Linked DNA regions of Arabidopsis thaliana. The protein of the gene in region 1 interacts with the protein of each later gene in a biochemical or structural test. Each region holds a gene or a part of one and is shown in the gene's direction. Other genes may lie near its edges. The genes, in order: HSF1, CDC2 and TBP1.

The links.
Region 2: the proteins of HSF1 (region 1) and CDC2 form a complex in vitro, tested with the Arabidopsis thaliana proteins (one study listed by BioGRID).
Region 3: the proteins of HSF1 (region 1) and TBP1 form a complex in vitro, tested with the Arabidopsis thaliana proteins (one study listed by BioGRID).

What each region holds. Positions count from the first base shown.
Region 1 is NC_003075.7:9,865,346-9,875,433, reverse strand, and holds HSF1 (heat shock factor 1), read left to right. Parts: upstream 1-3,787; 5' UTR 3,788-3,830; coding exon 3,831-4,163; intron 4,164-4,310; coding exon 4,311-5,465; 3' UTR 5,466-5,616; downstream 5,617-10,088. Other genes in the region: AT4G17760 (PCNA domain-containing protein), read right to left, coding at 2,177-2,405, 2,531-2,601, 2,689-2,808, 2,895-3,015, 3,094-3,248, 3,335-3,424, 3,498-3,614; AT4G17740 (Peptidase S41 family protein), read left to right, coding at 5,715-5,795, 5,897-6,188, 6,285-6,434, 6,513-6,595, 6,683-6,891, 7,001-7,069, 7,141-7,259, 7,351-7,426 and 5 more; SYP23 (syntaxin of plants 23), read right to left, coding at 8,717-8,738, 8,910-9,009, 9,093-9,250, 9,332-9,406, 9,479-9,618, 9,701-9,794, 9,884-10,083. UniProt on the Arabidopsis thaliana protein: Transcriptional activator that specifically binds DNA sequence 5'-AGAAnnTTCT-3' known as heat shock promoter elements (HSE).
Region 2 is NC_003074.8:18,065,832-18,077,410, forward strand, and holds CDC2 (cell division control 2), read left to right. Parts: upstream 1-5,622; 5' UTR 5,623-5,840; intron 5,841-6,355; 5' UTR 6,356-6,406; coding exon 6,407-6,415; intron 6,416-6,488; coding exon 6,489-6,673; intron 6,674-6,757; coding exon 6,758-6,878; intron 6,879-6,973; coding exon 6,974-7,147; intron 7,148-7,403; coding exon 7,404-7,567; intron 7,568-7,765; coding exon 7,766-7,853; intron 7,854-7,955; coding exon 7,956-8,009; intron 8,010-8,375; coding exon 8,376-8,465; 3' UTR 8,466-8,810; downstream 8,811-11,579. Other genes in the region: AT3G48760 (DHHC-type zinc finger family protein), read left to right, coding at 10,071-10,181, 10,613-10,795, 10,913-11,209, 11,309-11,542. UniProt on the Arabidopsis thaliana protein: Involved in the control of the cell cycle. Essential for both G1/S and G2/M (mitosis) phase transitions. Functions in cell morphogenesis as well as cell proliferation.
Region 3 is NC_003076.8:4,456,081-4,467,929, forward strand, and holds TBP1 (telomeric DNA binding protein 1), read left to right. Parts: upstream 1-4,759; 5' UTR 4,760-5,098; intron 5,099-5,473; exon of another isoform or gene 5,474-5,584; 5' UTR 5,585-5,613; coding exon 5,614-5,697; intron 5,698-5,785; coding exon 5,786-6,500; intron 6,501-6,587; coding exon 6,588-6,761; intron 6,762-6,849; coding exon 6,850-6,903; intron 6,904-6,978; coding exon 6,979-7,058; intron 7,059-7,158; coding exon 7,159-7,400; intron 7,401-7,522; coding exon 7,523-7,843; intron 7,844-7,931; coding exon 7,932-7,995; intron 7,996-8,086; coding exon 8,087-8,275; 3' UTR 8,276-8,657; downstream 8,658-11,849. Other genes in the region: AT5G13810 (Glutaredoxin family protein), read left to right, coding at 1-513; AT5G13825 (uncharacterized protein), read right to left, coding at 9,019-9,123, 9,620-9,889; AT5G13830 (FtsJ-like methyltransferase family protein), read left to right, coding at 11,283-11,360, 11,445-11,531, 11,620-11,682, 11,760-11,849. UniProt on the Arabidopsis thaliana protein: Binds specifically to the plant telomeric double-stranded DNA sequences 5'-TTTAGGG-3'. At least 2 repeats of telomeric sequences are required for binding. Induces DNA bending.

The sequences.
Region 1 (10,088 bases):
TAAAACGATAGCTATAAGTTTTTTTTAATATAATTTGGATAGCAATAAGTTTTTTTAATCAATATGAAACTTCTAAATTTGTATTTGTTTCGTAACTTAAAATCCAAATTTAAATTCAATAAAATACATAATATCAGCTATGTATTAATAAAAGAAATTGGACAGTCCAAATTAAATTCACTATCTACTACTACTAGAAATGCTATTAAAAATTAAAATAATAAGCTTGGATCGCTACATTAACTTCAATGATCATAACTCTAATTTCAAAGCCTAAATTCATGTGAAGAGGCTCGCAAGTCGAAATTCCAATAAATATCAATATCAGCGTCGATTTCGTTGACTATGGTTAAATTAAATCTTAACTACTGCAGTTACTTTAGTAATTATTGTAGTATATTTCAACTACTATTAGTATTTATATACCTTCTTCTCACGCCAAGTGGGCTTAATAAGATTAATAAATTCGAAGAGTATTATTTATCAATCCGTATAAAGGTTTGTTCACCGAAGACATATGTAGATAGTAAGTTCAAAATTTCAAATGTTTAAACCGATGATCAGTAAAACAATATACCGTGTCCGTGCTCATGAGCATATGTTTCGAAGAATACAATACATTTCTCTAATCAATATATAATTAAATCTCTTAGGGTAGGATTTATTGGTTGTCAAGATTCGAAAGGAATGATTTGTTTATACTTTCGTATATAATAGGATTTATATTTCTCATTGTTTATAATGTCCTTTCAGATTATCAACCCGACAAAGAATATATGATTAGATTATCAAATTGGTGCAAATTGCCGTAAATTTATTAATATGTTATTGATTAGACTATATATAGTTCATTCAAAAAGGAGAGATTCTCGCATGTCTCAGTGACTCGCTAGGTTCATCAGTTTTATTAACTCTAGTAAGAATTTTTTCCATGTATATTAGGTCTCTCTGGTCTATACATCTATATACATTGGTTTATACGTACATCGGTACATATACATACACAAATGAGACATTGTACGTTTAGTATACAGAAATGATTAGCATATCATTCGATAAATTCCCACCGTTTATATGTGTGGGTGTGTGTGCGCGACATAGACATATAAGTATATTATATAAGCAGCATTGATGTATGTTTGTATCATGATTAGGTCCACAAAAGTGTCAATACCATCATTAATGTCAATATAAATGGTAACACGTCCCCACCATATAATGCCTACAAATCTACATTAGGTGCACATACATAACAATTTGCGTATATGTGTGAGTTCTTGTCGATTCATTTAATTATTCTTCTATAAACTATTTCCAATAGATGGTAGTGATATATGATATCATGTCAACATTATTGGTAATTTTCTTTACAAAAAATGATTAAAGAAAACACACAAACTGCTAACTTTAGTATAAAATCATCACCCAAACTCTTCTTTAACAAACGTAATCATTTTCTTAAGAAGATTAGAAACACTAATCATACGATTTACTTTTTCTTTTTGTCAACATAATCATATGATTTTCTAAAATTATATTTTGAAGACTTTTTTTTGGTGTTTGGCCTCGAGTCATTTATATTTCTTTCTCTTTTGAGTGTGATTTAATAATCATGAGAAAAAAGTCCAACCAACTTTGAAATAGTGAGAAAGCTACTTGGACGTCTGTTTTAACTCCACGTGTCAAGCTTAGAACATTTAAAGGTTTTGCTTACAATTTTTATTTATTTGATCCAACCAACACCAACCCATCTCAGATATTTTCGCCAATCATAATCAGAGATCAAATTATAACGGTGAAGCTATTTTTAACTTGTATATTAAATAGTAAAATATACATGTTACACATCCGGATCCGTGGCGCAATGGTAGCGCGTCTGACTCCAGATCAGAAGGTTGCGTGTTCGATTCACGTCGGGTTCAATCCCCCGAACTATACACCCGGTTTCTTTTTTCGGTATGACATACCTATGTCTCCACTGCACGACGTCGTTCAGCGATATAACACTAAACGACGAGACATCTGAGCTAATTTAGTGAAACCACACGCAGTTTTTCTTTGCAAGCCTTAAACTTTTTCTTTCTTTCTTTCTGATACTGATACTGATAGTATTGAGAGACTGACTAAAAAGAAGAACTAGAATTACAAAGATAAAGTAACTGAAGGAGAAAATCTATTAATCAGCAGGCTCTTCAGGCTTCACAAAGAACTCTATATAAGCAATCCGACTCGGTGGCTGATACCCTGCGGATTCCACTTGTGGAGCTAAAGCTTTAGAAACTGAAACCAAGTGCTGAACTTTCAACATTCCTCCTCTTCCTATTGTTAGTTTGCTTCCCCTGTTTTCTCTCACTACGTTTCCCGGTATGTTTGCCGTTGTTGCTTTCAAAAACTTGTATTTGTACCTACAATCAACAATGAGAAGTTTAGCAAATGTATCTGGCTACTATTCTTGATTGGTAAATCAAGCGTAGGAGCGTGTGTTTTAACCATAAAGCTACGGTAGAGAAAGAATTGAGTTCATTGTTACCCGTAAGAGACTTCGGTATCACAATGAAAGGCAAGGAGAAGATCTGTGTTGGCATAATACATGAAGTCTATCTGCAAAGAGGATAGATCGAAATATGTTCCTTGATTCTTTCACATTAAGATAATATACATCACCAAGAAACAAGTGAGAAACAAGACCTGCAAGTCTCCATGTCCTTCTCCTCTAAAGATTACACAAGGGGGTTCCTTTTGAAGACTGATCTGTACACTTGAACCAGGCCATTCAAGATCATCTATTGCTTCCTTCAACGCCGCTGACTGATAGATACATTATCAATTACCATTTGAGAAAAAGCTCAGACTAACAATGTTAAACGAAAAACGATACTAAACTATGTTACTACCTTTACTGTAAAAGTAAGTGGCGCGATTCCCGCCTGCTCAAAGTTGTAGTCCCAAGTAACAGTTTCGGGAATTCTAGTTCTTATCTCAGAGTAGATGCAAGAGTTTAAGGTATCAACAGATCTAATCAAACACTCACACCAATCAGCTAATTACTCGTAATCCGTATATTCACAAAGCAAAGGATCATAGTACACATACTTGAGAAGAAGCTCCATATCAGGTCCTGGATACTTGATTTCTATAGTATTAGAATGTCCAGGTGATGAAAATGTGTTCAAGCAATCAACAAGAAGCCCTAAGCTGATTCCGAATCTCGGCCTACCTTGAGCTCCATACTCGTATTTCGTGAATAGCTACTCATATAACACATCAAACAGATTTCGGATTCAATCGAATTTTAGGGGTTTAGAAAATTTAAGATAAACTCAGAAATCGATACCTCGCGTTGAAGATAAACTTTGGCTTGAAGACAACCTGATTCTTCAACAATCAAAACTATTCCGTGTTCAGATAATTCTACTAAAGCATCCTGGAAACGGAGAAGTTTTCAGAAAATCAAAGAAGAACCCTAGATTGAATTTGGGGAGGATGGAGATAAAAACCTGGTGGCGTTTCCATCGGACGCAAGTGAGTGCATCGACCATTCCTTGAACATTATCGAGCTGGCAAATCAGGTCCGGTGTGTCTGGTTCAATCGCCGGCGACGAGGACGAACTCATTTCTCTCTCTCTCTCTCACTCTCCTTCCTCTGCTTTCCCGCCAGAAAATGTATGCCGACAATATAGCAATTAAATTGATTATTATTATATTTGTTTTAGCAGGCCCAGTTATTAATAAAGTTGATCTTTTTGGCCCACACACAAACTAAAAAGAAAAATAAAAGCCCATCTTTATGATATCGCGTTTATATCTGAGTCACAGAGAAATAAAAGGGTATGTTTGTAAATTTCAAATACTTCTCTTTCTTTATCCGTACGAAAATGGACGGTGTTACCGGCGGAGGAACGAATATCGGCGAGGCTGTGACGGCGCCACCACCGCGGAATCCGCATCCAGCGACTTTACTTAATGCGAACTCTTTACCGCCCCCTTTCCTTAGCAAGACGTATGACATGGTGGAAGATCCGGCGACGGACGCGATTGTCTCATGGAGTCCGACGAACAATAGCTTCATTGTTTGGGATCCACCGGAGTTTTCTCGTGATCTTCTACCTAAATACTTCAAACACAACAATTTCTCCAGCTTTGTTCGCCAGTTAAACACCTATGTAAGTATAAATTCTCTCGCGCCCTAATTTCTCCACCATTGATTTCTCTAATTGTACTGTGTATAGATTATGATTTCGTTGAATAATCTTAGTGCTTGATGTGTTTGATAAGATTTATATGATTCATGTGCCAATTTTGATGAACAGGGTTTTAGGAAAGTGGATCCAGATCGATGGGAATTTGCTAATGAAGGTTTCTTAAGAGGTCAAAAACATCTATTGAAGAAGATAAGCCGGAGAAAATCTGTTCAGGGACATGGTAGTAGTAGTAGTAATCCACAATCTCAGCAATTATCTCAGGGTCAAGGTTCAATGGCTGCATTATCTTCATGTGTTGAGGTTGGGAAATTTGGGTTAGAGGAAGAAGTTGAACAGCTTAAAAGAGACAAAAACGTGTTGATGCAGGAACTCGTTAAGTTACGCCAGCAGCAACAAACAACAGATAATAAACTTCAGGTTTTGGTTAAACATCTTCAGGTTATGGAGCAGAGGCAACAACAGATTATGTCTTTCCTTGCTAAAGCTGTACAGAATCCTACTTTCCTCTCTCAGTTTATACAGAAGCAGACTGATAGTAATATGCATGTAACCGAGGCCAATAAGAAGCGGAGACTCAGAGAGGATAGTACTGCTGCTACTGAGAGTAATAGTCATAGCCATAGCTTGGAAGCATCAGATGGACAGATAGTTAAGTATCAGCCACTTAGAAACGATTCAATGATGTGGAACATGATGAAAACAGATGATAAGTATCCGTTTCTTGACGGGTTCTCATCTCCAAACCAGGTATCAGGAGTCACTCTTCAAGAGGTACTACCCATAACTTCAGGACAGTCACAGGCATATGCATCTGTACCATCAGGACAGCCTTTATCATACTTACCCTCTACTTCAACTTCTCTCCCGGATACCATAATGCCAGAGACTTCCCAGATACCACAATTGACACGAGAGAGTATCAACGACTTCCCTACAGAAAACTTCATGGATACAGAGAAGAATGTTCCAGAGGCATTCATCTCTCCAAGCCCATTCCTTGATGGTGGTTCAGTCCCGATTCAGCTTGAGGGAATACCCGAAGACCCCGAGATTGATGAACTAATGAGTAACTTTGAATTCCTTGAAGAATATATGCCAGAAAGCCCAGTTTTTGGAGATGCAACTACACTAGAGAACAACAACAACAACAACAACAACAACAACAACAACAACAACAACAACAACAACAACAACACAAATGGTAGACATATGGATAAGCTTATAGAAGAATTGGGTCTTCTCACATCAGAAACAGAACACTAGTAAAGGATTATGTTTAGTATCCATTGTAAAGTCTTTCTCTACTAACATTATCGTTAGGACTCAGTAGTACGGTTGCAACTTTGTGCAGAAATCTTTCCTTGGATAATAGAAGAGTTGTATTTATTATTAAAAAGAAAATGCCATTTTTTCTAATTTATTGTAGAAAGTGACTACTTTGTCCAATCATATTTGTAGTCCTTTTTCGATAAGAAAAACAGAGTTGGAATTTTCCCGGGGAAGCTCTTTTCAATGGAGGTCCTTGCGAGCTCTTCATTATCCCCAATTTCTTTTACTAAGCCTAACAAAATAAACCCTAATTTCTCAATCCAGGTACTTTTCTTTCGTATAGTTGACTCCTTTTTAAGTTTCTCTCCTGCAATTCCCCAATTTGTGTCCGTTTAGCTGTGTAATAGAATTTTCAACCTTTGCAGGTGAAATTGTGGGTAAAACAACCTCCAAAGATTTCAAAAGCTAGCAAATTTAGTTATGCTCGTAGTCGTAGTAACATTTCAAGGAGCAATGCAGCAAACCCAGGAGTCGTGTTCGTCTGTAATAGATTTCTGTGTGTTATCGAAAGAAATGATCAGAGGAAATTATCTGGGAAGGTTATGATGAAATCTTCTGTTAATTTCAGACAGAATCTCTCTGTTGCATTAGTTCGGATCGTTTCTGTTCTGCTTGTCTCTTCCATTTCTGTTGTTACCACTGATTCACCACCATCATGTAAGTTCTGTTTTTTTTACATGTTGAGAAACCATATAAATTTCGGGGAATGCAATTTGATTTCATTTGTGTGGCTTTTTTTCTCTGTCTCTTTAGGGGGTCTTACTGAAGAGAATCTTCTCTTCCTCGAGGCTTGGAGAACAATTGATCGTGCTTATATTGATAAAACCTTTAATGGACAAAGCTGGTTTCGTTACAGAGAGACTGCTTTACGAAATGAGCCTATGAACACTCGAGAAGAGACATGTATGTGTGAATAGCTTTATTAACCTTTTACAAAATTAGTACAACTTGCTTCTAAATTTGGTGTTGGTTTGTGTTTAGACATGGCTATCAAGAAAATGGTGGCAACACTAGATGATCCTTTTACTCGATTCTTGGAGCCCGGAAAGTTCAAGAGTTTGCGGGTAAGATTTCCTGAAAATATACAGTTCTGAATTTAGCAAATAGACTGTATGTAAGATCTAGTAATTAAATGGTTTGGTTGAAGGCAGTCGGGGACTCAAGGGGCGGTTACGGGTGTTGGGCTGTCGATAGGTTACCCCACTGCATCAGATGGACCACCAGCTGGGCTTGTTGTTATATCAGCTGCTCCAGGAGGTCCTGCAAATAGGGCGGGGATATTACCTGGCGATGTTATTCAAGGAATTGATAATACAACCACAGAAACTCTTACCATATACGATGCTGCACAGATGTTGCAGTGAGTTACATTTCCATTTTTCATCATTCCTTAACTTTGAAAAATCTAAGTGTGACGAGTTAATGGTTCTGAAGTAAGAAATGATGATAATGCTTTGGTTGAAATGCAGGGGACCTGAAGGAAGTGCAGTGGAGCTAGCGATTCGCAGTGGACCTGAAACGAGACTCTTAACTTTGACGTATTTCTCTCATGCCTACATTTATCTTCGTTGTCACGTTCATTTGGTAACTACAATTGTTGTTATTTCAGGCGAGAGCGGGTTTCTGTGAATCCAGTGAAGTCAAGATTATGTGAACTTCCTGGTTCTGGGAGTAACTCCCCTAAGATTGGCTATATCAAGCTAACAACATTCAATCAAAATGCTTCTAGTATGTATTCTTTGGCATTACTGATTCCTTCTTACAAATTTATCTACTCTCTAGTTTATTATCTCTCAAAGTCTTAACACTTTTTTTGTAGGTGCGGTAAGGGAAGCTATTGAAACCTTGAGAGGCAACAATGTAAACGCATTCGTCTTGGACCTTCGAGACAATAGGTGATGATTTTTTGAGAACATAAACTCTTTTTTGCTTTTGCAACAGCCTTTCTTAAAAAAATTGTTCTTGCTGCAGTGGAGGTTCTTTCCCAGAAGGAATTGAGATTGCTAAATTTTGGTAATAACCTCATAAACCGTTACATATAACGAATTAGAAAATTTCAAGATCCACAGCTATCATAATAGAAACTTCAACATTTGCTATCCACAGGTTAGATAAAGGAGTGATTGTGTATATTTGCGATAGTCGAGGTGTTAGAGATATATATGATACTGATGGAAGCAATGCTATAGCAACCTCTGAGCCTCTTGCCGTTCTTGTATGAGCTTCCATCCTTCCTTTCCTCAAATCTAGTCCTTATTGTAATCTGTAAATGCCATGAAAGATTTCATTCTCACACAATCTTTCTCTTTTCCAGGTTAACAAAGGCACCGCGAGTGCCAGCGAGATATTAGCAGGTGCCTTGAAAGATAATAAACGTGCTCTGGTTTATGGAGAACCAACTTACGGAAAAGGGTAAACAAAATGGCGCTATTTTTTATTCTTCTTCTCAGAGACCGAACCGTAAAATTCCTGAGACTTTAACGCATTTTGCAGCAAGATACAGTCGGTTTTTGAGCTTTCTGATGGTTCGGGCTTGGCAGTAACAGTTGCTCGATATGAAACACCAGCTCACACAGATATAGACAAAGTATGAAACTACTTTCTTCCTGTAGTAACCCCCTCTGTGTCTACACTACACTACATACAAACATGTTCTTACAGTCTTGACTCGTTGCTGGTTGTTGTATAGGTCGGTGTAACTCCTGATCATCCATTGCCAAAGTCGTTTCCGAAAGATGAAGAGGCGTTCTGTGGATGCCTTAAGGATCCTACAGCTGCTTGTTATCTCAATCAAGGCCTACTTTTTTCTAGATGATTTTGTTTTGTTCAAACTTTGTTCTGACAACATATGACTAAAATTTATTGACTCAAGCTTTGTACTTTTGAAGATTCGCCATAGCTTTAGCTAATCGAAACCAGAAATTTCACATTTAAGAACACAAACAGAGGATTTTCCTTCAGAACCAAGTTATATTACAGAGACAAAGCAGTAACACTCTCTCCTTCAGAACCAAGACTCAGCAAACACAAGCCAAATCAAACCAAAGTGAACTACTCTATATACTCGATAACAAGAAACAAGAGACCAATAGTCCAACAGACTAAATTGTAGGAACAAAGAGAGTCGTGACAAACATATACTCATTGATGCTTCTTGATTGATGATGAAGCACTTGTCCATGCTTTTATGAGCTTGGGGAAATCAAACTGCGAGCACTATAATAACAATCATGAGCACGATACCAAAAATCACCAAGAGCAAGCACGTCTACAAGAAAAAGAAAAAACAATGGAAAGAAGAAGTTAGTAGGCTGATCTGATCATCCAAAATCCTCAAAAACACATTTCATGGTACGATCAAAAGCTTTAATATATTACCAGAGAAGAATTTGATCTTTGTGTCTTTGATGCCTTACGAGATGGGATTTTCCTTGGGCAGTTGCAGCGTAAGAGTTATCGATGTGAGTACCAATATCATCTACACAAAAATAGGTCTTACGTCTTAGGTTTTGAAGACATAAGTGAGAGTTTTAGCATAACAAGAGTTGGAATCAGTTTTACCTATCATGTTTCCTTGATCGTGCACCAACACTGCCAAGTCTTTGAAGATCTCGTGCACCTCGCCAATTTGCTGCTGAATTTCTTGTATCCCTTGCTCTCTTTCCTCAATAACAGCCTCATTGAACGCAATCTCATTGTCCAACAGTACAAGTTCTTGTCTGCAACAAAAAACAACAAACCAATCAATAGATAACTCATCAACCGAACAAAGATGGACACCATTGTCTGTATAAACTAACCTTTTTGATTCCACAAGAAGGGCACGCTGCTCTGGATGCTTATCTCCATTCACATCTATCTCACTGGATGTGTAGCTACATTACCAAAGCCAGGAAATCAATACACAAAACCACAAAAGTAAACATAAACCATCAATGAGCATTAACCTTGAGGGAAGAGATGGCTTGTGGACAAGAGGAGCATATACGGTTTCTCTTTCAGCAGCAAGACGCTGAGCCTTTTGAAACTCTTTCAACACAGCTTGAAAGTCCTTTGCAAGCTTAGCATCCACAATCTTCTTCTTTTGCTAACCAACCAATCAAATTCCTATTAATCAACAGAAGTAGCAGAAGAAGAACAAGAATCTTCCTTTATCATAAATGACTCACATTTACACCTCTTTGATGATCAGTTTCACTAGCTTCTTTAAGTTTAGCTGATGTATCTTTCACTAACTGTCCAATATATAATCTTGTCTTATGCCTAAAACAAGCAAATTGACTCAATTAGAAACAATTTCAAGTACCCTAAAACTCAAAAAGGAGATAACTTTAACTTTGAGAAGTACTTACAGCTTCTCTCTGAGCTCAGGCGTATCTTTAGGAGTACCAAGAGTATTGACAAGACGATGGAAAGTGGAAACACTTGTATTGATCTGAAATATACCAGAAGCAACATCTTGAGTCGTGTCTTGTCTACTACCACCACCATTGATGTTCCTTGAAGAAGCTAATGATCTTCCTCTTCCCGCCTCTAAATCTTGAAAACTCATTCTTT
Region 2 (11,579 bases), on another chromosome or scaffold:
CACATTTGTTATTGCCACTTAATAAAATGGATTATTTTTTCATCTTTAAAAATGAGTTGTGTCAAGTTTCTTCTTCTTTCCATGCAGCCCCTAACCTCATATACGTAGTCGGATAAGAAAATTCATTTGATTTTATATCTTGAACTTACGAAAACTTTGTTATCTTTGAATAGAATCAGTAATCACATAAGTGGAAATGTTGTACTATAGAACAAGTTTTTGGGTGCGAGTTAGATATATATTAATATATTTTTTTAAAAACGTAATCGCCATAATAGTTTAAAAGACCAATTCATTTTTATATATTTATTCAAAAACAAAGTATTTTCTTAAACTTTAAAATCAAGCAAAGTTATTATATGAAAAAGAGTTAAATCGAATGATATTTTTCCATTCTTTACTACACGTACGTACCAATATTGACTTTTACTTCTTCGTACATATATTGAGTCTTTTTTATGATGACGGCGTAGATGTGAGTCATGTGACCATTGTCATCCGTACACTACTAGATTCCAATGGAACTGAAGTTGCCATTGAAGGACTTTGCAATGAATGATTATAATTTAGAACTAAGAATTAAACTTTGGTAGAGAAACCACACAAGTAGAAGTGTAGAACCATCATGTTCAGCAGTTATTTAATCGAATTTGCACCAAACTCTAGATACATTCATGATCGATACCGTAGGTATAAGTTCTTATAATATTTTTTTCACGATTACGGTTTCATTAGAGGGAAATTACTTTGAAAAGTTGTGTATTTTAGTACACATTTTGAACTTTACATATATAATTGATTTAGTGTGAAGAATAACAGTTGTGTTAAATCAAACTCAAAATGAAAAAAAGGCTTTCGGCTTCTTTTTGCAATTCATTTATACATGCAATGTATTTTTTTCGTTTTACCCCAACAAAAATAAAAAATGTGGCTGCTTCGATTTGCACAAGCCAAATCGATCACAACTATAAACTGACGTCTGACCCAAACTCGTGCCCTATTTGCTATTTGATACTGTTTTCATAGGTATTTGACTGAAACAAAATTAATTTAAAATCATTGTTTTCCTTATTTTAAAAGAAATATGTTAAGAGATTTATTAATCATCGTTTGGGATAAGACTATACATATAAGTACCAAGTTGTTGTTTTATTTTATTTTTATTTAATCTTATACTTGTTCGCATGATAGAGAAATTATTGAAGGCTTTATTAGCCTTTCTATGAGTGAACATTCCACTCTTCTTGAAAGAGAACAAGATAGATAATATCACAGCTTTGTTTTTTTTTTCTATTCAATTCTTTTCTCTCCTTTTTCTTTTGTTTTTAGTTTTTAATATTTCTTCTTTTCTTATTGCGTTAAGAAGAACATATCTGATTTTTATGGTCTTCCCCAAATTTGGTGCAACACTTGGCAACTTGGGTAGTTGCATACTTTTTACTCATCTTTCCTAATTTTCAAATCTTTTTTTTTGGGTGTGCATATAAACATTGAATAATAATATATAACTGTGTATATTTATTTGCTAGAATAAAATAATATAGATGACTAATTAAGAAAGAAGACAATTAACATTTAAAATTATTTTTGCCTTTTTATTATTTTAATCTTCACAATTTAGTAATGGAACATATTACACAAAATTTATATTTATGCATTATCCAGATATCATATTGCCTTTAATGATTAGGAAATTCTTGTTAGAAACGAAATTCTAAAATAAATAAAACACACTCGTCATCCATTAAGGGCAAAACGTTTAAAAGATTTCTTGTCTTGTGTACAGTTGGCCGGCAGCTTTGGTGCACCAATTTTTGTCCCTCTTTTTTCCCATTGTTATTATGCTATTAATTTATCTCCTAAAAGATTATGAAATCATACATATTTACACGTAAACCACATTCTCTTAATTTAGCTAGTATTTTAGTTAAGAGTGTAATCTCTTAAATGCATTACGATAATATTTTTCTAAGTGTGCAGATAGTATATATAGAAACAAAGTCTTATCTACTCGTAAACTAATTCACATTAACTACTACTTGAGATTAAACCAATATAAGTTTGCTTCGGTTTGAAACAAAACAAGAGCTTGCCACTTTGTTGCGTTTTGACAGTTCTTCTCATGGTTAATATTTTTTGATCTTAAATGAAAAAGTATGATATTGAATAATCCCTATATCTTAGATAAACCTTAAAAAGGTATAGCTTATGTAGTCAACAGTTTATAGTAAGAGGCCTATAGGAGTTTATACAAAATTTATACGGATTAATGTAACTCACTATCTCATGTACTATGAAATATCATTAAGGAAACAAACAGTTTTCGATTTTTGTTGTTGATGTTAATTTGCTCATTTTTCATACTAAAAACGACTTTGCATTGTATTTAGGGATATTTGAGATATTGAATTATTTTTTTTCGTTTCCAAGGAGAGTCTCTTTTTAGTGTTAATAATGACATATCCTATTGCCTAGGGGCCTTGCTTGGCAACTAGAGAGGAAATATCGAAATCTTCTTCTTCCTTTCATTTCCCTTTTCTTTTTTCTTTTTTTTCTTTCTTTGTTTTATTTTCCCTTTTCTTTTTCAGTACAGTTGTTTTCGATATATATATATATATATAATTATAATGATGTAATGAGAAAATTATTGATTTTGGTGAAATATCAAAATATCTATATGATTTTCAAGGTTGACAAGCGCATGAGATTTAGTTATGATATTTTAGCAGTAAAGTTATGTCTACATTTCATAAATGTGTCCGAGTATTTGCTATTTTTAGCATATAAGATTAAGCCAAAAACTCATATTTTTAAACGTAATACAAAAAATGACAATAAAGTGTATATATAGATGTTTATGTTTTTTTTTACTAAACAATAAAAATAAATAGAAGGGAAATTAATTAATACTATATTGTAATTGTTCTCTTATATCACTTTAAAAAATGAAAAAAATATGGTCACGGTTAAAAAAATGAGTTTATAGGAAGAAATGGTAAATGTTTTTTCAAAAACTAGTTTTATAGATTTTAGAAAGAAATTAAAACCAATTTTCTAAAATTGTAAATGGATAGTTAAGTAATTAATTTCTACGAAAATATAAAACCAATACACTTTAATTTAAAACTATACTATTCGTAAAAGTGTTATGTAGTGTCTCATTTAGCTACTCTAGATGAATTTATTTTCTTGTTAATCGTTTTCAGTAACCGGTATATAAATAAAAGTTTCGTATGTGAACCACTCGGTTCTATGGTGTAGTGGTTAGCACTCTGGACTTTGAATCCAGCGACCTGGGTTCGACTCCCGGTAGGACCTTTTTTTGCTGATTGACTATTTTTTTTTGTCACTGCCATGTTTCTTTTTTCTTTGAGACTTTGACGACATTTCAATTATTTTTTTTGTTTGGGCCTTCAACTTCTGTTTTTTTTTTGTCAGGACTTACGACCCAATACTTACAAGGGTGATTTGTAGATATAGCACTTTTTCACTAAATAATTAACTAACTAACACCATAAATTTAAAAATGTAGTAAATAACCTTCAAGGGGTGTGAAAAGACATCACTGTCCTGCTGTTACGTTTGGCAGCGAAGAAGGAGAATGTTTAGTGTGAGCTGACGTGGCTTTATTATTGGTGTTGAGGTGAGAAAAGAAATCAGGTGGTAGGATAGAAGTTCCATTTTCTCTTACTTTTTTCTTTACCCCTTCCCAATTGTAATTCATATTATCTGATCTTAAAAAATTTAATTCAAGTTCATGATATATCAATTAAAAAGTTGTATAGTTTTCTACATATATCATGACTTAAATTTTTGAAAACAAACATAAAATAATTTAGATGTGAATAGTGTTGTCAATGAATAACATAAAGTTCTATATAGATAAACAATATTTTTTTATAGAAAGATATTAAACCCTAAAGGATAATATATAGAGAACCCAAGAGTTTAAATCTAAACCAATAATTAAATCACTTAACATCCTTAATCAAAACAAATAATTCATTTTAAAACGTATATAAAACAAAGTATACGTAAATAGTATATTTACAAATAGAATAGTATCTCTCAAATTGCAACAACGAAACTCAATTTCATCACCAAGACACCAAGCGCAACAACGAAAGTCGATTCCCTGAATCCAAATTGTGTTCCTCCCTCTGTAATTCGAAACCCCCAAATCAAATCTCACCCAAAAGTAATTAAGAGACTCTGATTTGAAAACAAAAACAAGTAACGAGGTAGGTGTAAAGACTTTACTGGGAGAAAGAGAGAGGGAGAGGGAAAAAGAAAGAGAGAGAAAGAGAGAGGGGGAGAGAGAGAAAGAGGGAGGGAAGATAGAAGGGAAGAGAGAGGTAGACGGAAAGAGAAATGGAGAAAAATAGATAAAGGGGTAAACTTGGAATTAATATACAAAATATAGAGGATATCAGTTCTTTTTCCTTTTGATGTTAGTTTCTTAATTATAAACTTTTTGTTGGTTAGTTTTGCCAATTCCCTTACTTACAACTGATAACCGTATAGCTCTTTTATCAGAAAAAACTTTATATATCTAATCTCCCAAAATATACAAATGTGAGAAATATCTGAAAATAAATCAATTCTCACCAATTATATATATTTGATTACTTAAAAATGTTAATATATGGCAGTTGCTTGTTCAGAGAATAACTTAAAAAATTGATCACGAGATCGGCTTATGTTTAATATTTTTGAACTCTTGGGATAAAAGTTTTGAAGATATATATATCGTAGAAAAGTTTTGTGTTCTTTAATTAGTTACAAAATTTTGAGTTTTTTTTTTTTCTTTCATAAAGTATCAGAATATCAGGGTGATTTATTGAATAGTTTATTTTTTCTCGTTCTACTCACGTTATTCTTGCAAGTATTAATTTTGGTTTGTTTATAAAAAAAGTATTTGGAAATTTTATGTGAGCAAGTGCGAAATAAACGAGGATTTTGGGAAGTATTTTTTTTTTTGTAAAATCGGTTATATTGAACGTTATACTATATATATTATTATATAAATATAACTGCTAAAGACTAAATTTAGATACTAAAATCAGCATTGATGAAGATCCACATGAATAAGACTCGTCTCTTAACTCAACATTTAACATATGATTTTCATATTATTGATCATTTATCTTTGTGTTGGTCCAAGGTGCCAGACTTTATTATTTACATTAAATGTTGAGTTGTTTACTGACATATTTTTTAATTAAAACAACTTTCATATTATTGCCCATTTATATTTTGGTTGGTCCTCCAAAGACTTACAGGATACATATGTTTCTCCATTTTCATTTTTATGATCTAAAACGTCTTTTTCTAACTTAGATTCTAAATGGTTACAGCAAACCGGACATACAATTTTGCTTGTCAAATGGATCGTTGAGATAGACAACAATCCAATGTAAAACCAAAACTCTTGATTTATAATTGGTCTGCAATGATTTTTTTTTGGTTCATATACCATTTTATAAGATAGCAAACCATTTTCATCATAAAAGATATATTTTTTTATCATTGAATACCAATCAAACCCGGTATAATAAATAAAATTGTACCAAATTAATGCGGTTAGGTAAATTCAATTTATTGGAAATTAAAGAAGAGAAAAAAAAAATAACGAACAAAATTTCCTTGACACAAAAAAAAAAAAAGAAGAAAGAAAAAACCCTTACTCTCAATTAGTCAATCCCCTTCCCTAGTCCTCCTCTCTTCAAGCTTTTCACAGAAAACCACCACCCTTCTCTCTCTACTGCCTTTTTACCACAGAGAAGAGAGAGGATCCGTCGGTGTGCTAGTCTCACTGACACTACATCCGATCGTCGCCGGTAAGTTGATTTCGTTACTCTCCGATCAATTTCTTTTCCGGAGGAGGAACTTGTTTTCCGTGCGAAATTCTGACTTGAACTTTGTTGTCAATTCATCAAACGCTTTATCTTTTCTCCATCTTCAATTATCTTACTGCTTCGTCGCTGATCTCTACTTGTTTTCCTCCGTTTTGCATTTTCAGTGGCGTTTCTTAGTGTTTCACTAGATTTAGACTGGTTTTGCTTGTGTGCATTTTGTCATCAGTGTTTATGATTGTTCGCTTTAGCTCTATGTTTCTATGGATTTGATAATATATGAGTTCGCTGCTCTGGATTCAGCTGGCTTGTTTGATTGTTCATTTTCATAATTCTGTCCAAAGAATCAAATCCACAGTAGCTCGGATCTGAGATTGATTTGTTTCTTTGCGTCTTTGTGTAGATTTGACTTTAATTTTGAGATTGTTGTGTGCTGATATACAGCTTAATTAATATAGCCTCTGATGTGTTATTATCGATGTGTCATTATCAATCTACAGGTGACATTTTATAAGTGTGGAGTTTACTTCAGCTTTATTATTCAGGAATTGATGGATCAGGTTGGTGTAAATAGTTGTTTCAGTTCTTACTCTTTTGACGAGAGTCTCTGTTAATGTGCTCTTATTAATGCAGTACGAGAAAGTTGAGAAGATTGGTGAAGGAACTTACGGTGTGGTTTATAAGGCACGTGACAAAGTGACTAATGAGACAATTGCTTTGAAGAAGATCAGGCTAGAGCAGGAGGATGAAGGTGTTCCTAGCACAGCAATCAGAGAAATCTCCCTCTTGAAAGAAATGCAGCACAGCAACATTGTCAAGTATGATGTTAATACCATTGTTGAAAACTGATTCAGCATGATGACTCTGGTAAACAATTTTGATTGATGTTTTTTGCTACACAGATTGCAGGATGTGGTGCACAGCGAGAAACGTTTGTATCTGGTTTTTGAGTATCTTGACTTGGATCTCAAAAAGCACATGGATTCTACTCCTGATTTCTCCAAGGATCTACATATGATCAAAGTGAGTGCTAAGAAACTTTAGGCATTGTTTTATATATGTGCTTAAACTCAATACTCAATATAAGCTGATCAGAGCTGTTCATCCACTATTTTCAGACATATCTTTACCAGATTCTCCGTGGAATTGCGTATTGCCACTCTCATAGGGTTCTCCATCGTGATCTGAAGCCACAGAATTTGTTGATTGATCGCCGCACAAACTCACTGAAGCTTGCTGATTTTGGACTGGCCAGAGCATTCGGTATCCCTGTCAGGACATTTACTCATGAGGTACCAAAGAGCTTTATTCCTTGTTCATATGTTCCCGTTATGAAATCTTTTGGCTGGCTGCATTCCTTATGAGTGTAATGTAAATTAAGTATTATACCACTTATGTGTCTGATAAATGTGATGAAAAGGACTAAGCCATTTCACATAGACGGTTGAAGTAAGCTAGTTCAAGATACTGTAAAATATTTCAATGCTACATCCAGATTTCAGATCTCTTCCTGGTTATTCACACAATTTTTGCATATTGTTCCTTTAGGTTGTTACTCTCTGGTACCGAGCACCAGAGATACTCCTAGGATCTCATCATTACTCTACACCTGTTGATATTTGGTCTGTGGGGTGCATATTTGCTGAGATGATCAGCCAAAAGCCCTTATTTCCTGGAGACTCCGAGATTGATCAACTCTTCAAGATTTTCAGGTTTAATTGCTAACTTCCCCAGTCCAATATTCCTCTATATATTACAAGTGCAAAGACTTGTCTGCAATGATATCACAAGGGATTGTGGAAACATTTTCAACTTGATATCACATTTTGGAGAAGTAGTAAAGGACACAGAAATTGAATTGTTAACTGATTATAAATCTGTTACTGCCTTGTTTTGTTGTCTTCTTCTAGAATCATGGGAACTCCGTACGAGGATACATGGCGTGGGGTAACTTCTCTACCGGATTATAAATCTGCTTTCCCTAAATGGAAACCAACGGTACTTCAAATGTCTTTATTCGCTTGTACATCTTGTCTTCAGTAGTCAAGAGTTCACAACATATATTAATTCTTGCCCTTGTTTTTTTTTCTTATACCACAGGACCTAGAAACTTTTGTCCCCAATCTAGATCCCGATGGAGTCGATCTCCTTTCTGTAAGTTCACTGAGCTAGATATATACACACACATATATAGACACACTACTTCTGCTATTAGAGACCTGTATGCTTGATTGTGATGGATCTGGTCTCATGTTTCTTACTAAAAACCTTTTAACCATTTGAGGTTTTAGATGTCTTATAAAGTCATCAAGAGCCGGCGTACTAAAACCAATTCGATTAGGCTTCATAGTTTCAAAACCACATGAAGCCAAAACCAAACTTGTTTGAAATATGAACAATCTTCAAAAACCAGGATTCTTGAAATTCCTAACCAAACCAGACATCTGGATAGAAATCTAAGATTTTGAGCTCCTGTGAAAGCAAAGATGATAATATATCTCTCTGCTTGATTTGTTTCAGAAAATGCTGTTAATGGATCCGACCAAAAGAATCAACGCAAGAGCCGCCCTGGAGCATGAATACTTCAAGGATCTTGGAGGCATGCCTTAGAAAGGCATAAAACCAGTAATCTCCTTCATTCTATATATAATTATCAATCCTAAGAAAATGAAGAACAATATTAATGGGTTTTGTTTATTCTTTTTCTGAGTTCGTTTCCTACTTATATTCTATTACGAAAAAAAAGAAAGAAGAAGATTTCGAGTGTGTTTTTTTTTACTTCTAAGCTTTTGAGATCAGTTTCTTGTATCTTATTTTACCCAGAATATAGTATTTCCCTATATGAAATATGGTTTTTGTTTTGCAAAATGACCATATTATGCAACTTCTCAGCTTCTTGATTGTGCCTTGATAGTGATCTTTTGAAATATATCCCAAAAAACATCACTTTTTTCGATTTCATTAGTACTTATTTACGAGTTACGACGTCATTTGATAACTAGTATATATGGTCCGTCGATCTTAATTTCCTATTTATAAAGGGTGCACCGTTTTTAATGAGACAAGAGGGTCCAAGTAGCCAATCATTAATGAGACCAAAGTTGACCAGAAAAAGCTGACAAATAAATTGACGAGAAGAACAATTCAACACGTATTCGATAGTTTGGATTACATTTTACAGTTGGTCGAAATTCGAAGTAGATCAAATGTCAATAATCTAATTCGAAACTAAATGAAGGTACCTGATAACCATTTCAGTGTTAGTTAGCAGTGGTTTCAATCTATTCACTAAGCAAAGACGCTTCCATTCTGAAAATCAAGTCCAATGGGAGGCATAAACTTAAGTGTCTGAAAAACTCAAAAAAGCATAGCCTCGTGTAAAATAGACCGATCTATTTATTCATGAATATATGTATGATTATCAAAGTGCATTTATACTTTTTACGTTTTAAAATTTCGTATATAAACTTTCCTTAGTGAATATTATAACATAATTTCTAATGAAAACTTGTTATATATTATTATTTTATATATATTTTTGCCAAGAGTTATTATCATTTTAAAGTTTTAGACATTTTTACTTATTGTTGCAGAGCGCATTTTCTCTTACAATTTATCTATTAATCAATAAAATAATTATAGACCTTTTTAAAAGATAAATAGTAATTAGTATATAAAGTTATATTTAACAATAGTGTATTAATCATAAAATCAAAATACTAAAAAAAAAAATCAAATTCAACAGAAATAAATAGCACATTAATGATAAAATCAGAATAATTTTATTAAATCAAATTCAACAGCAATATGTCACCCCAAAAACTATATACTTATTAATTTCAATCAGTTTCATTGTCATTTACCTAATTAGTTTAAAATATATAGAAAATTATAAACGTGTAATGTCAAGACTGATTCCTCAAAAAAAAAAACCCTTACTGAATCTATTACACATCAATTATTCTGTAACAGAAAGAAAAAAAAATCATTAACTAATTACCATAAACTCCATTAGAAACTGATATCTTTGAAATTAGTTGACTCGTAAAAAGGGAAAGCTGCATTATTAAGAAACAAAAAACATAATTCTCTTTCTCTGTTCCCTCAAGTCAATAATTCCTTTTTTGATTTTTATTTTCTAAACCAAATTTATTGCTCTGAAGACTTTGTTTGTGTAGCAAAAAAAAACGCGATTTTTTTTCTGGGTTTCTTCCGATGTTAGATTTGCAGCCGTCAGATCGGCGTCATGGAGCTCCGAGTAGTAGCGGCGGTGTTAGTGGTGGTGATGAGCTGATCAGAACTTATAAAGGCTGGAAAGGCAATAACGTGAGCTTCTTCTTCTTCTTCTTCTTTATCTCTTTTATGATTGGTTTTTGTTTTTCTGGGTCAGATTTAATGTCTTTGAATAAGATCTGAATCAAAAATCCTAAGCCTTTTTGGTGGAATTACTCAGAAGTTGTGGAATAATCATTCTCTCTGTTTTTTTGCTGGGTTTGGTCATATTTTCAGAAGTTTAGAGTAATAAGTTTGACTTGTATGTATACCCTAATTTTGAGATTTGGTCTTGTTTACGCTGTCAAAGATGCTGGTCTCTTTCAAAATTAGAGCTTTTTGATGTTTAACACAAGTTTGAGTAAAGATTTACCTAGATGTGTGATCACATAGTTACAAGAGTCTTTAAGTTGTTAATTCAACTAGATTTGTAACATTTGTCAATATGTTACTGATCTTTGATTTATTCTTTTTTGTGTCTCCAGGTGTTCTTCCTTGGAGGAAGGCTCGTGTTTGGACCTGATGCTCGATCTATTCTCATCACCGTCTTCTTAATTACAGCTCCTGTCATTGTATTCTGTATTTTTGTTGGCAGAAAATTTATCGATGATTTTCCTCACCATAGAGGAGTATCAGTTTTAGCTGTTGCTGTTGGTCTGATTTTATTAGTGAGTTCCTTTTTCTCATGAATGTTTGTTCCCTTCTGATTCTGATTCAGCTCTCTACTGCAACCTTTTTACTCTTGGCATCTTGATAATAAAGGTTTAGTATTTGTTTGTCTACAGGATCTAGTATTTCTTCTTCTAACCTCCGCGAGAGACCCAGGGATAATACCACGTAATCTGTATCCTCCTGAACCAGAGAGTAATGAAGGCAATGGAGAACCACGTCTTGCTCATACTCCTCAGAGTCGGTTGCCTCGGACAAAGGATATGATTGTAAATGGAATTACTGTCAAGATCAAATACTGTGACACATGCATGCTTTACAGACCGCCCCGTGCTTCTCATTGTTCGATTTGCAACAACTGCGTCGAGAAGTTTGATCACCACTGTCCTTGGCTTGGTCAGTGCATTGGATTGGTAATGGATATTTTTTTTCCTCATCAAAAACCAATTACAATTGCATATACCTAGACGATTCAAGAGTAACTAACAGTTATTTGGGGGTTTTGATTGCAGAGAAACTATAGGTTCTACTTCATGTTTGTGTTGTGCTCAACTCTTCTCTGCATTTATGTCCATGTGTTCTGCTGGATCTACGTCAAGCGGATAATGGATAGTGAGAACATAAACATCTGGAAATCGTTTCTCAAGACTCCTGCTTCCATTGCACTAATAATCTACACTTTCATTTGCGTCTGGTTTGTTGGTGGGCTTACCTGTTTCCACTTGTACCTAATGAGTACCAATCAGGTAAAAATCATTACTCTCTAAAAGCTCCTTGTTTTGA
Region 3 (11,849 bases), on another chromosome or scaffold:
CCCGAATCGCGGATATCGCCTTTTTCGAGCTTAAACAACTCGGTCATCCGTCTTCCCGGGACAGAGGACAGGATTGTGGTGTATTTTACTAGCTTGAGAGGGATTAGACGGACGTATGAGGATTGCTATGCTGTCAGAATGATATTTAGAGGGTTTCGGGTTTGGATCGATGAGCGCGACGTCTCCATGGATATCGCTTATAGGAAAGAGTTGCAGATTGCAATGGGAGAGAAGTCTGTGTCTTTGCCTCAAGTTTTCATTATGGGCAAGTATGTTGGTGGTGCTGATGTGATCAAGAGTTTGTTTGAGATTGGTGAGCTTGCTAAGATTCTTAAAGAGTTTCCAATGAGACAACCAGGGTTTGTTTGCCATTGCTGTGGGGACATTCGATTTGTTCCGTGTTCCAATTGTAGTGGCAGCAAGAAACTGTTTGATGAGGATGAAGATAGGGTCAAGAGATGTCCTGAATGCAATGAGAATGGATTGATACGTTGTCCTGATTGCTCTTCTTGAGATATATCATCAATGAACCTGAAAAAACCATTAAAAAAAAGAAGAAAAAAGAGGTATTTATTTCTCTTTTGATGTTTCCATTGTTGTGTAGAACAGTGAATGATGCTGCCACAAGTATCCGAAAATCTCTTTTGGATCAGCAGCATTTCACTTTGGGTTTTTTAAGGTTTGCGATCAACGGTAATGGGAATGCCGGTGATCGTGGATTTAGTTTATGTATGTGTTTGCTACTAAGGGCTAAATGTAATTGTGTAATCAAAATGTCTGAAACGGGTAGTAAGCATTTTGACTCTTGTGTGTCAATGTTGTGAAAGACAACTGTGTTCTTATGCTATATATTTGATTGTAAATATTTCGTGTGTTTATGGGCATCTTGTTGATTACGACAGTAATTGGGTGGTTCTACTCGCTTGATCGTCTTTTTATGACAACTTGGTTAGAAGTTTTCTACCGACATAATCCTCCATCGTTCTTGTTCGCTAACTCTCAAGTATGATCAAGGGCTCTCAGAACCAATTTATTGGTTGAGCGTAATTGAATGTTGGTGGTTAAAACATAACATATAAGACAATCATGTATCATTGACAATATTCTAATCTTGATTCCGCAAACATTCATGATTATATCGGTGACAAGTCCATAAGAAAAGGGTCATACTTCATTTTCGCATTTGATAAACTTTTGTTTCCGGCAAAATTACTTATTAGGTGAACTCAACATTTAACCTCTATTTCCGGCAAAATCATTACCTTAAAAGAAACTAATTCATTACTCATTCCAACGGACCAACTAGTCCTTTTGGCTTAGGTTGGAGCCAATCCGATAAGTTTGGAGAAATGACAAAATCAGACGTGGTAAAAGTGAACACTTGCATCACTAGTTACTTGATTTGTTTGAAGAGAGGTGTGACCTATAAGGAAACTATCCAACTCTTTCTAAAATGTCAAAGAGAGTTCTGAGGCTTTCTTAAGAAAATGCATCTATCCTACCTACGTTATTAGGTCCAAGAATAAATATTTGCAATCAGAAGCAAATTTCAATCTTGAAAAGCCCAAGTGTATAAAACGATGAGGCAACCTATCTGAAAACTCAACGTTTAAAAAGCCCAATATTGTTTTTGCCTTATTGTCATCATTATACAGAGAAGTATATGGTTTCTTTAGCTACTTGTTTTCTTATCTTTTGGCACGAGGAAATCCTTTTTACGTTTGAGTTTGCAACTTTCCTTCTTTTATAGTTTTAGTCAGAATTGACGGTTATAGATTGTTTTTCACGCAACGTTTTTTCTTTAATTAAAAGGTTACTTGAACAGTTGAACTACTTCTTACTAGTGGTATCTTCTTCACTCACGCATCCACCCCCCACTTGGACCCACTTAATACATACCTTACTTTATTATTCCGGTTTCCGACCCATTTTCAATCATAAATTCATAATCAAAAAATTTGTCCTATATGGAAAATTTATGTTTCTATCGACCGTGCTTCAAGCAAAAACCAAAGTTTATTTTGTATGATCGTGAATCTGAGAACGGGACGGCTCGATCGACTCTACCGTGTTTTTAGTCGAAAGGGTATAGTATTGAATTATTGATAGCTTTGGATAACCATGTTGTTTTTGCAATGTGACACATTTTGCCTATGTCGTGCTCGTGCTCGTGCATGAGCATGATCGAACGACTATGTGGGTGCTATCAATTCTTAGTCAATTCTGCATAAAACATTATGATTTCATGATTTCATACATTTAGGATGGTGACAATGTACTCAACAACTACTTATGCTGGTTTTGGCCCCAAAAAAACATCGTTTTCTAGTGTTTTGGAAACTCGTTAATTCGACGACCTCGCCCAATACGGATATGTTTGACGCGGCATTCATGTCTTGTCTTAATTGGTATGCTAAATATTATTCCAACCGTTAATATAAATATTTAGAGTTATGATTTGACTAAAAACATTAATTAAAATATGTATATTTCTTTTTTTTTTTTTTTCTTTTTTTTTTTTTTTTTTTTTTTAAAATATGTATATTTCGTAATAGTATTTCAAGTGTTAGTGTGCACTAATTTAAATGATTGATTTTTCTTGTAAGAATATTTCAAACTTTGAAATTAACTCTAGAAATCTTATGTAATGAAAACAAAACGAAAGTATATAGAATCACGATGAGATTAACTGGCTAAAAAGTAATCATCTTTCATACAAATTTGCTATACATTTTTTTAATAAGGACTTCTCTTTTAATGTGTAGGAAAGATGAAATCAAAACACACCTATAGATCTATTTTCCATAACACACAAGATCTGAACACGAAAAACAATTGTTATACCAGATATATACAATAGTGTTTTTTTTTTTGGTTTGAATGATATATACATTTACATATATATAAACACATATATTAACGTATAAAATATTACAGGAAATTTGATTGGAAATGAAGTCCAAGTTGAGTAAGTTTTATTTCAACCACCTCAAGGAATATATACGGCCTTGAAGCATACGTAACCATCTCAAAGGCAGTTTCAAATCAAACGTAGATGTTAGGGTATAATGTAAGATATTGAGATTCTTGTTGGCTAACGGAATATTATATCAATATCGAAATGTTGCCAGGATATGAGAACCATGTGATGATGATATATACGTGATTGCTTTTCTTCAACTTGGTGACAGAGAAAAAAAAAAGTTTAAAGGAGAAATAAAAGAACAAAAGCTGTTCAACCCAACCGAATTAGCTTGCAAACGAGTAAAGAGCAGATCTATGCCTCATCCGCTGAAGCATAATGCATGAAATGCTAGAATCCAACTCTCTTCGGTTTTTGTGCTATTATTTAGGATATTTCTGCCTGCTACACATTCGTTGTCGATATTTGAAAAACATTGGGATCAAAAGACATCTTATATGAATAAAAATATATTTGTTAATTGTTATACATAATTTGATGTTATTTTGACATACTATGACAATACATATGTTATCGTCACCGCAATATTAATTAACTGTTTTCGTCAACAGTGTATAAATGATTCCCATAACATTATTAAACGTTGAATGGTAGGAAGAACAACTTGGTATGTTATATATATAACAGAGATCTCATATTATAAAAGTATGAAAATCATGTGTGCACATAGACTATATCACATCTACATGAAACACAAACACAAACACATGGATTTCTTCTAAACACAACGACATGGATATAAATCCAGTGTTATCGGCGTATTAAAAAAATAAGACAATGTATGAGTGTGACAATCAACCATGTGAAATCTTGTCTTTCTATAAATATACTAGTTTAGAACTTTTTGTTTTATTTTATTTATTTGTTATTTTACTATATCTTAAGATAAGCTTATGCCAACTGACTTTCAAATTAAAATGGAATATTCTCGTTTTGTTAGGTGGTTGGATCTCGTTTTATTTAAATTTTCCTATATCCGTCTTACCGAGTAATTTAACATTTTTTACAACTAAGAATATGCTCTTTTCCGTCCAATTGGGAATATGCTTAACAACACTATCATGGATGATTATCCTAAATGTACAATAAATTTACTACTTAATCTTCATTCATGTTATCATGTTAATATACTATTGAAGGATTCCATTGTAAACTATTTCATGGATGATAATCCTAAAGTGTCTTTGGCTTCCCCAGTCAATATTAAACAAATTCAACGCAAACTTTTTAATAACAGTAAATAAACTTACCCAACATTAATATTTGACCAATAAAAAGTCATAAATAAAGCTTTGAAAATATTAATGGGGAAGAATTCAATAGTTTTCGAAACATCTTAAACCTTACTCTACCTAATAACTAGACTTAAAAGCAAAGAATCGAATTAAACGAACCACCCCACTCTTCTGCTAATAGGCAAAAACAAATTCCAGGTGTAAAAGCACGTCAGCAAGAGAAAACACGTGGACCAATGATGTAAAAACGTGCACGGAACAGTAAAAGAAGGGATACCACGCGGTATCACAGCCTCATAATATTCCCTTCAAAATGGGAATATTATAATTATTATCCAATCCCGAAATTAACTCTCTTTTTTTTGGTTCTGACAATGACAAACAAAATAGGTTTCGTGTAGTAAGAGTATCCTCCACGTGTCATTAAAAACAAAAAAAATGGTTCGAAGAGTGACTGGCTCTACCCGGTAAATCCACTATCCTTGAACTGCCACATCCGGTCGCGTGGTTATTATTTATTTTATTTCCTCTACTTACAAAAAAAAAATGGTGTATTTATTTTCTTCAAATGGGGGTTTAAGCTTTTTTTCAGTTGTTTGGTTTTTTCTTTTTCAAAGGGTTTAATGTCTTCTTCTTCTTCTTCTTCGTTATTTCTATTCTAGAAGAGAGAGAGAGAGAAAGACAAGGACGATCGTTAAATCTTTTTCTCTTAAATCTTAGAATTTCAAAGTCTCTGTAATTTTTTTCTCTTTTCATTTGTATAGCACAATTGTTCTTAATCAGAGATTCGTGAGAGGTAAAGGTAGCGTAATTATTCAGTTTGCGTGATCTATAATTTAACTGGCGCCAGATTGTGATCCAGGAATCGTTGGCTTGTTAGGTGAGTTTTTTTGTTCATCACAATTCATGTTCTCAATTCTGTTTTTCTGATCCACAAACTCAATTCATGTTCTGTTTTTGGTGACAAAAAAGTATTGAATCTGAAGTCGAATAAATTATTTGGCGGTTTGTCAGAAGTTGGCAATCGAGATCTGATTATGTTTTATTGTTTGTTTCTACGTAAATTGTGAGCATTTAAGTTACATTTGTTTCATTGATCTAAGTTTTTGCGTTTCATCTATACGTTGCTTGTTTCGCTGCATTTTTGCATGTTTTTTAAAAAACAAACAAAGTGATCAAGGGTTTGGTGTTCATTGTTGATCTGAATCTGTATAGGGCTTAGTTTTATCTTCCTGATTTTTTTTTTTTTTTTGCATTTGACCTCGGATCTGTTGATCATTAGTTTAAGAATGTGTTCAAATTATACTGATTAGCTTAATTTTGTTGGAGATGATCATGACATTAAAAGTCTTTGATTTTTTTGCAGGTTGTTGTTTTGTTATGCATAATTGAGAGATGGTGGTCAAAAGGAAGTTAAATTGTGGTGGCTCTAATGGTTTTGATTTCCCCAATATTCCCAAGGCTCCTCGTTCAAGCAGGGTAAGAGATCATGGTCTTCATTTTTTTTGTTTTTTTTTTTGTATGCTTTTGTAATACGTCTCTGATGACTTTTGTTTCCCTTTTGTAGAGGAAGGTCTCAGGTAAGAGATCTGATGATGAAAGTGAGATCTGTGCAATTGATTTGCTAGCTTCTCTTGCTGGAAAGTTGTTGGAAGAAAGTGAAAGTTCCTCAACGTCTACCTATGCATCTGAAGCTGATAATCTTGATCATTTGGGTGGACTGATTAAGCAAGAACTTGAAGATGGCTATACTACTAAGCCTTGTAAATCCGAGTTTTTCGATCCAGGAAACCCTGCTTCAAAGTCTACTAGTGAAAATACTAGCGTGACTTGTTTGCCATTTTCGTCTTTCGAAAATGATTGCATTTTGGAGCAAACACCGGTTTCTGATTGTAAGAGGGCATCTGGTTTGAAGTCCCTGGTAGGGAGCATCACTGAGGAGACATGTGTTGTTAATGAGGATGCCGGATCTGAACAAGGTGCTAATACTTTCAGCTTAAAGGATCCAAGTCAATTACATTCGCAGTCTCCAGAATCGGTCCTTCTGGATGGCGATGTGAAATTAGCACCATGCACGGATCAAGTCCCTAATGATTCTTTTAAAGGATATAGGAATCATTCTAAGTTAGTTTGCAGAGATGATGACGAAAACTATTGTAAGTATTATAAATTTAGTGACAAATGTAAGTCATATAGGCCTCTCTCCCGGGTTGGCAATAGAAGAATAATGCAGTCGGTGAGAGCAATCTCCAAGTTGAAGTGTTTTGAAGACACTAGAACAGGTTAGTATCATATTACTGTGTTTCTCCTTGGTGCATTTCTTTTTAGCTGCCGCTCTGCCCTTACTTTGCTTGCGGATATATTTCTAGATGGTCGTTTGAAGGCTCTCTACCGCAAGAGAAAATTATGTTATGGTTACAACCCATGGAAGCGTGAGACCATTCATAGGAAGAGAAGATTGTCTGACAAAGGTTTGGTCGTAAATTATGATGGTGGGCTCAGTAGTGAAAGTGTTTCCAATTCACCTGAAAAGGGAGAATCAGGTACATATTAGTCTATATCTAGATGGTTTATTACCTTGGCTGATATGGTTTTGATTTCATGATTTTTTTGCTTCTTTGTTGAATGCAGAAAATGGTGATTTCTCTGCTGCAAAAATAGGTCTTCTTTCGAAAGACTCCCGTGGTATATGATCAGTTGATAATTTACTGACTTATGGAGACATGATATGTGGGTCTCATGTTATTTCATTGTTTGCAGTAAAGTTCAGCATCAAGTCCCTTAGGATTCCGGAGCTTGTAATTGAAGTTCCAGAAACAGCAACAGTAGGCTTACTGAAGGTGCGTGATTAAATGTCTTTTCCTACCGGTCTCTGTAGATGTTTTGGTTCTGCTGTGTACAATGATGAAGTGTTATTTACATAAACCTTTTTGGTTGCAGAGGACGGTGAAGGAGGCGGTTACTGCTTTACTCGGTGGTGGAATACGTATTGGGGTGTTAGTCCAAGGGAAAAAAGTTAGAGATGACAACAACACTCTATCACAGACTGGTCTTTCGTGTAGAGAAAATCTTGGCAACCTTGGCTTCACCTTAGAGCCTGGTTTGGAAACACTGCCTGTACCTCTTTGTTCTGAAACTCCTGTCCTTTCTCTGCCAACTGACTCTACAAAGTTGTCAGAAAGGTACTAACAAACGTGATCTTATATATATATATATATATATTTGTTACTGCAAGTTTTGCTTGTGTATGGATAAATTTGAAGCTCTAGAGATATACCTAAGGACAATCATTCGATCTTGCTAGGTCCGCAGCTTCTCCAGCGTTAGAGACTGGAATTCCTCTCCCTCCCCAAGATGAAGATTACTTGATTAATTTGGGAAATAGTGTGGAGAACAATGATGAATTAGTCCCACATCTGAGTGACATACCAGCTGATGAACAACCTTCATCAGATTCAAGAGCGCTGGTTCCAGTTTTGGCCTTGGAATCCGACGCTCTTGCACTTGTTCCAGTTAACGAGAAACCTAAGCGTACAGAGCTTTCACAACGCAGAACCAGGAGACCATTCTCTGTTACAGAGGTAGAAGCTCTAGTAAGCGCAGTTGAAGAAGTTGGGACTGGAAGGTAAAAAGACTGGTTTGGTTGATGAGGGTTATTAATACAATAATTTGGTTATGTGGTCAAACTAATGATAGATATTCTTATTTCACAGATGGCGTGATGTGAAGTTGCGTTCTTTTGAGAATGCAAGTCATCGAACCTATGTGGACTTGAAGGTATGAGAACACATATCAGAAACTGGTCAAACACACTTTTGAGTCTTAGCCACTACATAAATGGTTCCAATAACTTTGTGATTTGTTGCAGGACAAATGGAAAACGTTGGTTCACACAGCAAGTATATCACCACAGCAACGAAGAGGAGAACCAGTGCCTCAAGAACTGCTAGACAGAGTCTTAGGAGCACATAGGTACTGGACACAGCACCAAATGAAACAGAACGGGAAACATCAGGTGGCTACAACAATGGTGGTTGAAGCAGGTTCGTCCATGTAAAGAAGGAGAATGGTAATAACAATAACTTTCACTTGACGACTAAGGAACCAAAGTGGGCAACTGTACAAAGGGAAACAACAAAATACAGAAACATACTTAATTTCTGAAAAGAAGAGTCTATATTTTTATTTTTTTTAAATCATAGCTGGTAGAAACAAGACGTTCCTTGACACTTTTGGTTACTTTTATGGTAAGTCTGTTCATTCCAAATTTCTAATTGATTTGATTATGTAATTTGGTGGTAGGACCATGGAAAAAGGGGAAATGTAATTTTAGACAATTCTTTTATTTTTTTGTTCATCATTCCATTCAATCTAATATCTATGGACTATGGCAGTGACTGGTTTTCATCAATCTCTAAACCATTTGACAATACTTTGTCGGCCATCGTCTTTCCTTCGTTCACATTGGGTTCTAAATATTTTGGATTCTATTGAGAATGGGGTTTTGGATTAACAGGGCCCAACTACTAAAGTTGGCTTGCTGCACTTTTGCCACAATCCCTCTCAAATTATTTATTTAGCAGTAAAACACCAAATTTAATCTTGGTTACACAATATAATATTAACCAAAATAAACAAAGAAGATTCAATTCAACTAAACACCAAAACAAGAAAATCCTCGATTGATTGTCACATTAAAAAAAAAAAATGTTTCTTTATCTAAATAATTTGGATTCGAAATTTTTAGCCACTTACATAATAGAACCATCAATTCCCAACAAATTAGGTCTACTAAATAGATTACTTTCGGAAGACGACTATTGCGCGCGATTTTTCAATATCTGCATAGATTTGATCCACTTCTCCACGAGTATGATACATTTGCCCTAATGGATCATAAAAATACTGCACATTGAAAACTAAACAAATATTAAAATCTGTTATATTATAATGTACATTGAAATTAAATGATAAAAATGTGTGATATATATAAACACACACATATAGAATGAAGAATCATATATGCAGTAAAAGCTAAGAGTTGACAAAAAAGAAGAAGTAAAAACTAGGATAAAAACTAACATTTGAGTGAGCTTGAGATTTAGAGAAGAAACTATATGCATGTGCATACATTTTTCTTGACTCGGGTCTCGAAACTATACTTTAATCATACTTGCCAAATCAAACATATATTATCTTGAAAAATGAATACAATTCTCATAGAAAGAGAGATTCTATCCCAAAACATAGATTACTAATTCTTAAAACTAATGAATTTTTTGCGGTGACAATAGAAGGTGAGTCTAGTAAAAAAATCTAAATCAACATGACAAGAACAACTAAACTACTACCACTTAGTTGATAGCATGTTAATTTTCCATCAAAAGAAAATAATAGTTACCCGGTAGAGTCGGTCATAGACCTTAAGACGCTCCTCAGCGATCCAACCAGAACGAAGCCAGTTGTAACGAGGACATGTATTATCAAACACAGTAGAAGACGTATTGGGGATTTTATTCAATTGTCTTCTGCGACTCACAATCATCAACGTCTCTTTCCCTTCTCTTGACAGATTTGCAACGCTGCTCTCATAACTGATCACATCCGATGATCTCTTTTGTCGTGGACGTTTCTGTCGTCGATGTCCAGAACTACTAGATTCAGCCTCCATATCTTATCCTTGTATTATCGTCTTGTTACACTTTTATCTTAACGAATTTCAAGTCTTTGTATTTACACAAAACTTATCACCTTAAGGATACAATTGTGCCATGTGTTTTCTCATCTTCGTTGGTTTTGCACATTGTATAGAAATATATCTTAAGGAGATTACAAAATCTCCAAATACATTAATGTATTTCTTTTTTATTTTCGTTATTCTGCACTATATATAGAAAAGTATCTTAAGAAATTTACACAATGTCCATAATACATTAATGTATTTATTTCCATAAATAAAATTATGTATTTTTACACTTAATACCAAACATAAAATAAATATCAATTTAAAAAATGGTTTAATGAATTTCTCTTTAATTTGTTTTATTGAAGTTTTGTTTTTGGAAAGTTTGAGTTTTCTTTTTCTGAATTTAATTAATATTATTTAACGTTAAATTAATAAAATTTTCAAGTTGAGAAAATGGTTACATTGCTGTAAAACAAAATTAATTAGAAGATAAATCAAGTATATAGTCCAAGTTAAGTTCCAAAGGATTTCACCAATATAACATTAATTTATCATATATTATTAGATGAGTACTCACATATATGTAAAAACCTCTCTAATTATAATTTGTATTGGTTTATCTTAGGAGGGGTTATTGGTCTATTGATTTGTAAATCTATATAGAGTTTGAAAATCTCTATTAATTATGAAATCAAGATATATGAATTTTGAAATAACATGTGTTTACCCATGGATTTGAATCCTTTTATTTTTCTCTTTCAAATCCATTCAATTCCATTTAAAACATAATTTGGATTTTCAAATCAAAAAACAAATGACTAAACGAATAACAAATGATTTTAACTAGTATTTATAAATCATCGAATCAATAACACATGATTTTAATTAAAATTTTAAAATCAATGATTGAATAACAAATGATTTTTGTTTGGAATTTCAATTCCTTATAAATCTATAAACCAATAACCCCTTCTTAGTCTTGCATCCTTGAATATACCCTGTTGACATAGATGTAAACTTGTTTATTTTTTGTTTGTGTTTAAATTGAAATATCATTGTTTTTTTTTTGTCAAGGTTGAAATATCATTGTTAATATCATCTTTTGAATACTTTTCACATAGAGGTAAATAGTAAACTTGATCAACTTTCAAATTTTTATCCTCCTAATTAATAATACTTTTCACTATTATATTTTGTTCACTGTTAAGAATGAGTAAAAAATTTGCAGTTTTTGATTTAAAATAGAATTATCCTCGCTAATATTTTTTTTGACTAGTTTGCAATATTTAAAAATGTGGACATTTTAGGGTTTATAAGGTTTTGGTAAAACAACAAAAAAGGAAGCAGAAGACATCGGTTGTTGTCGGCGCCGGAGGAAATGAGTGGGGCAGGTGTACCGGACTTTTTCTACAGAGAAGCTCAACGTCTTGGCTATGTTGCTCGCTCAGCTTTCAAGGTCAATATTACATTCATACCCTCCTCAGCTTCGTCTCCTTCTTCTTACATTGACTCTTCTCTCTGTCTGTCTCTGCAACTACAGCTTCTACAGATTCAAAAACAGTACAAGCTCATCAAACCAGGCTCCTCTGTTCTTGACCTAGGTTGCGCGCCTGGTGCTTGGCTTCAGGTCTTTTTTTGAGATTCCATAAGTTACAAGTTTCGAATTCTGTGTAAAGAGGCCTAAACTTGAATTTTGTTGCTATGATTCGGTGCAGGTTGCTTGCCAAAGCTTAGGCCCACTTAGAAGTGGTGGAATTGTCGTTGGTATGGATATAAAGGTCAGAGGAAGCTTCAAAAATGTAATCTTTTTGCTCTAAACTGTGTGAATCCATGAGCTTTTTCAATTTCAGAGCAGAAGGTGAAGGTTCCTCCACAGTGTGATTCTCGAGTGCAAACCATTGCTGCTGATGTTTTAAACTTTCCCAGACAAAAGATTCGGGAGTTA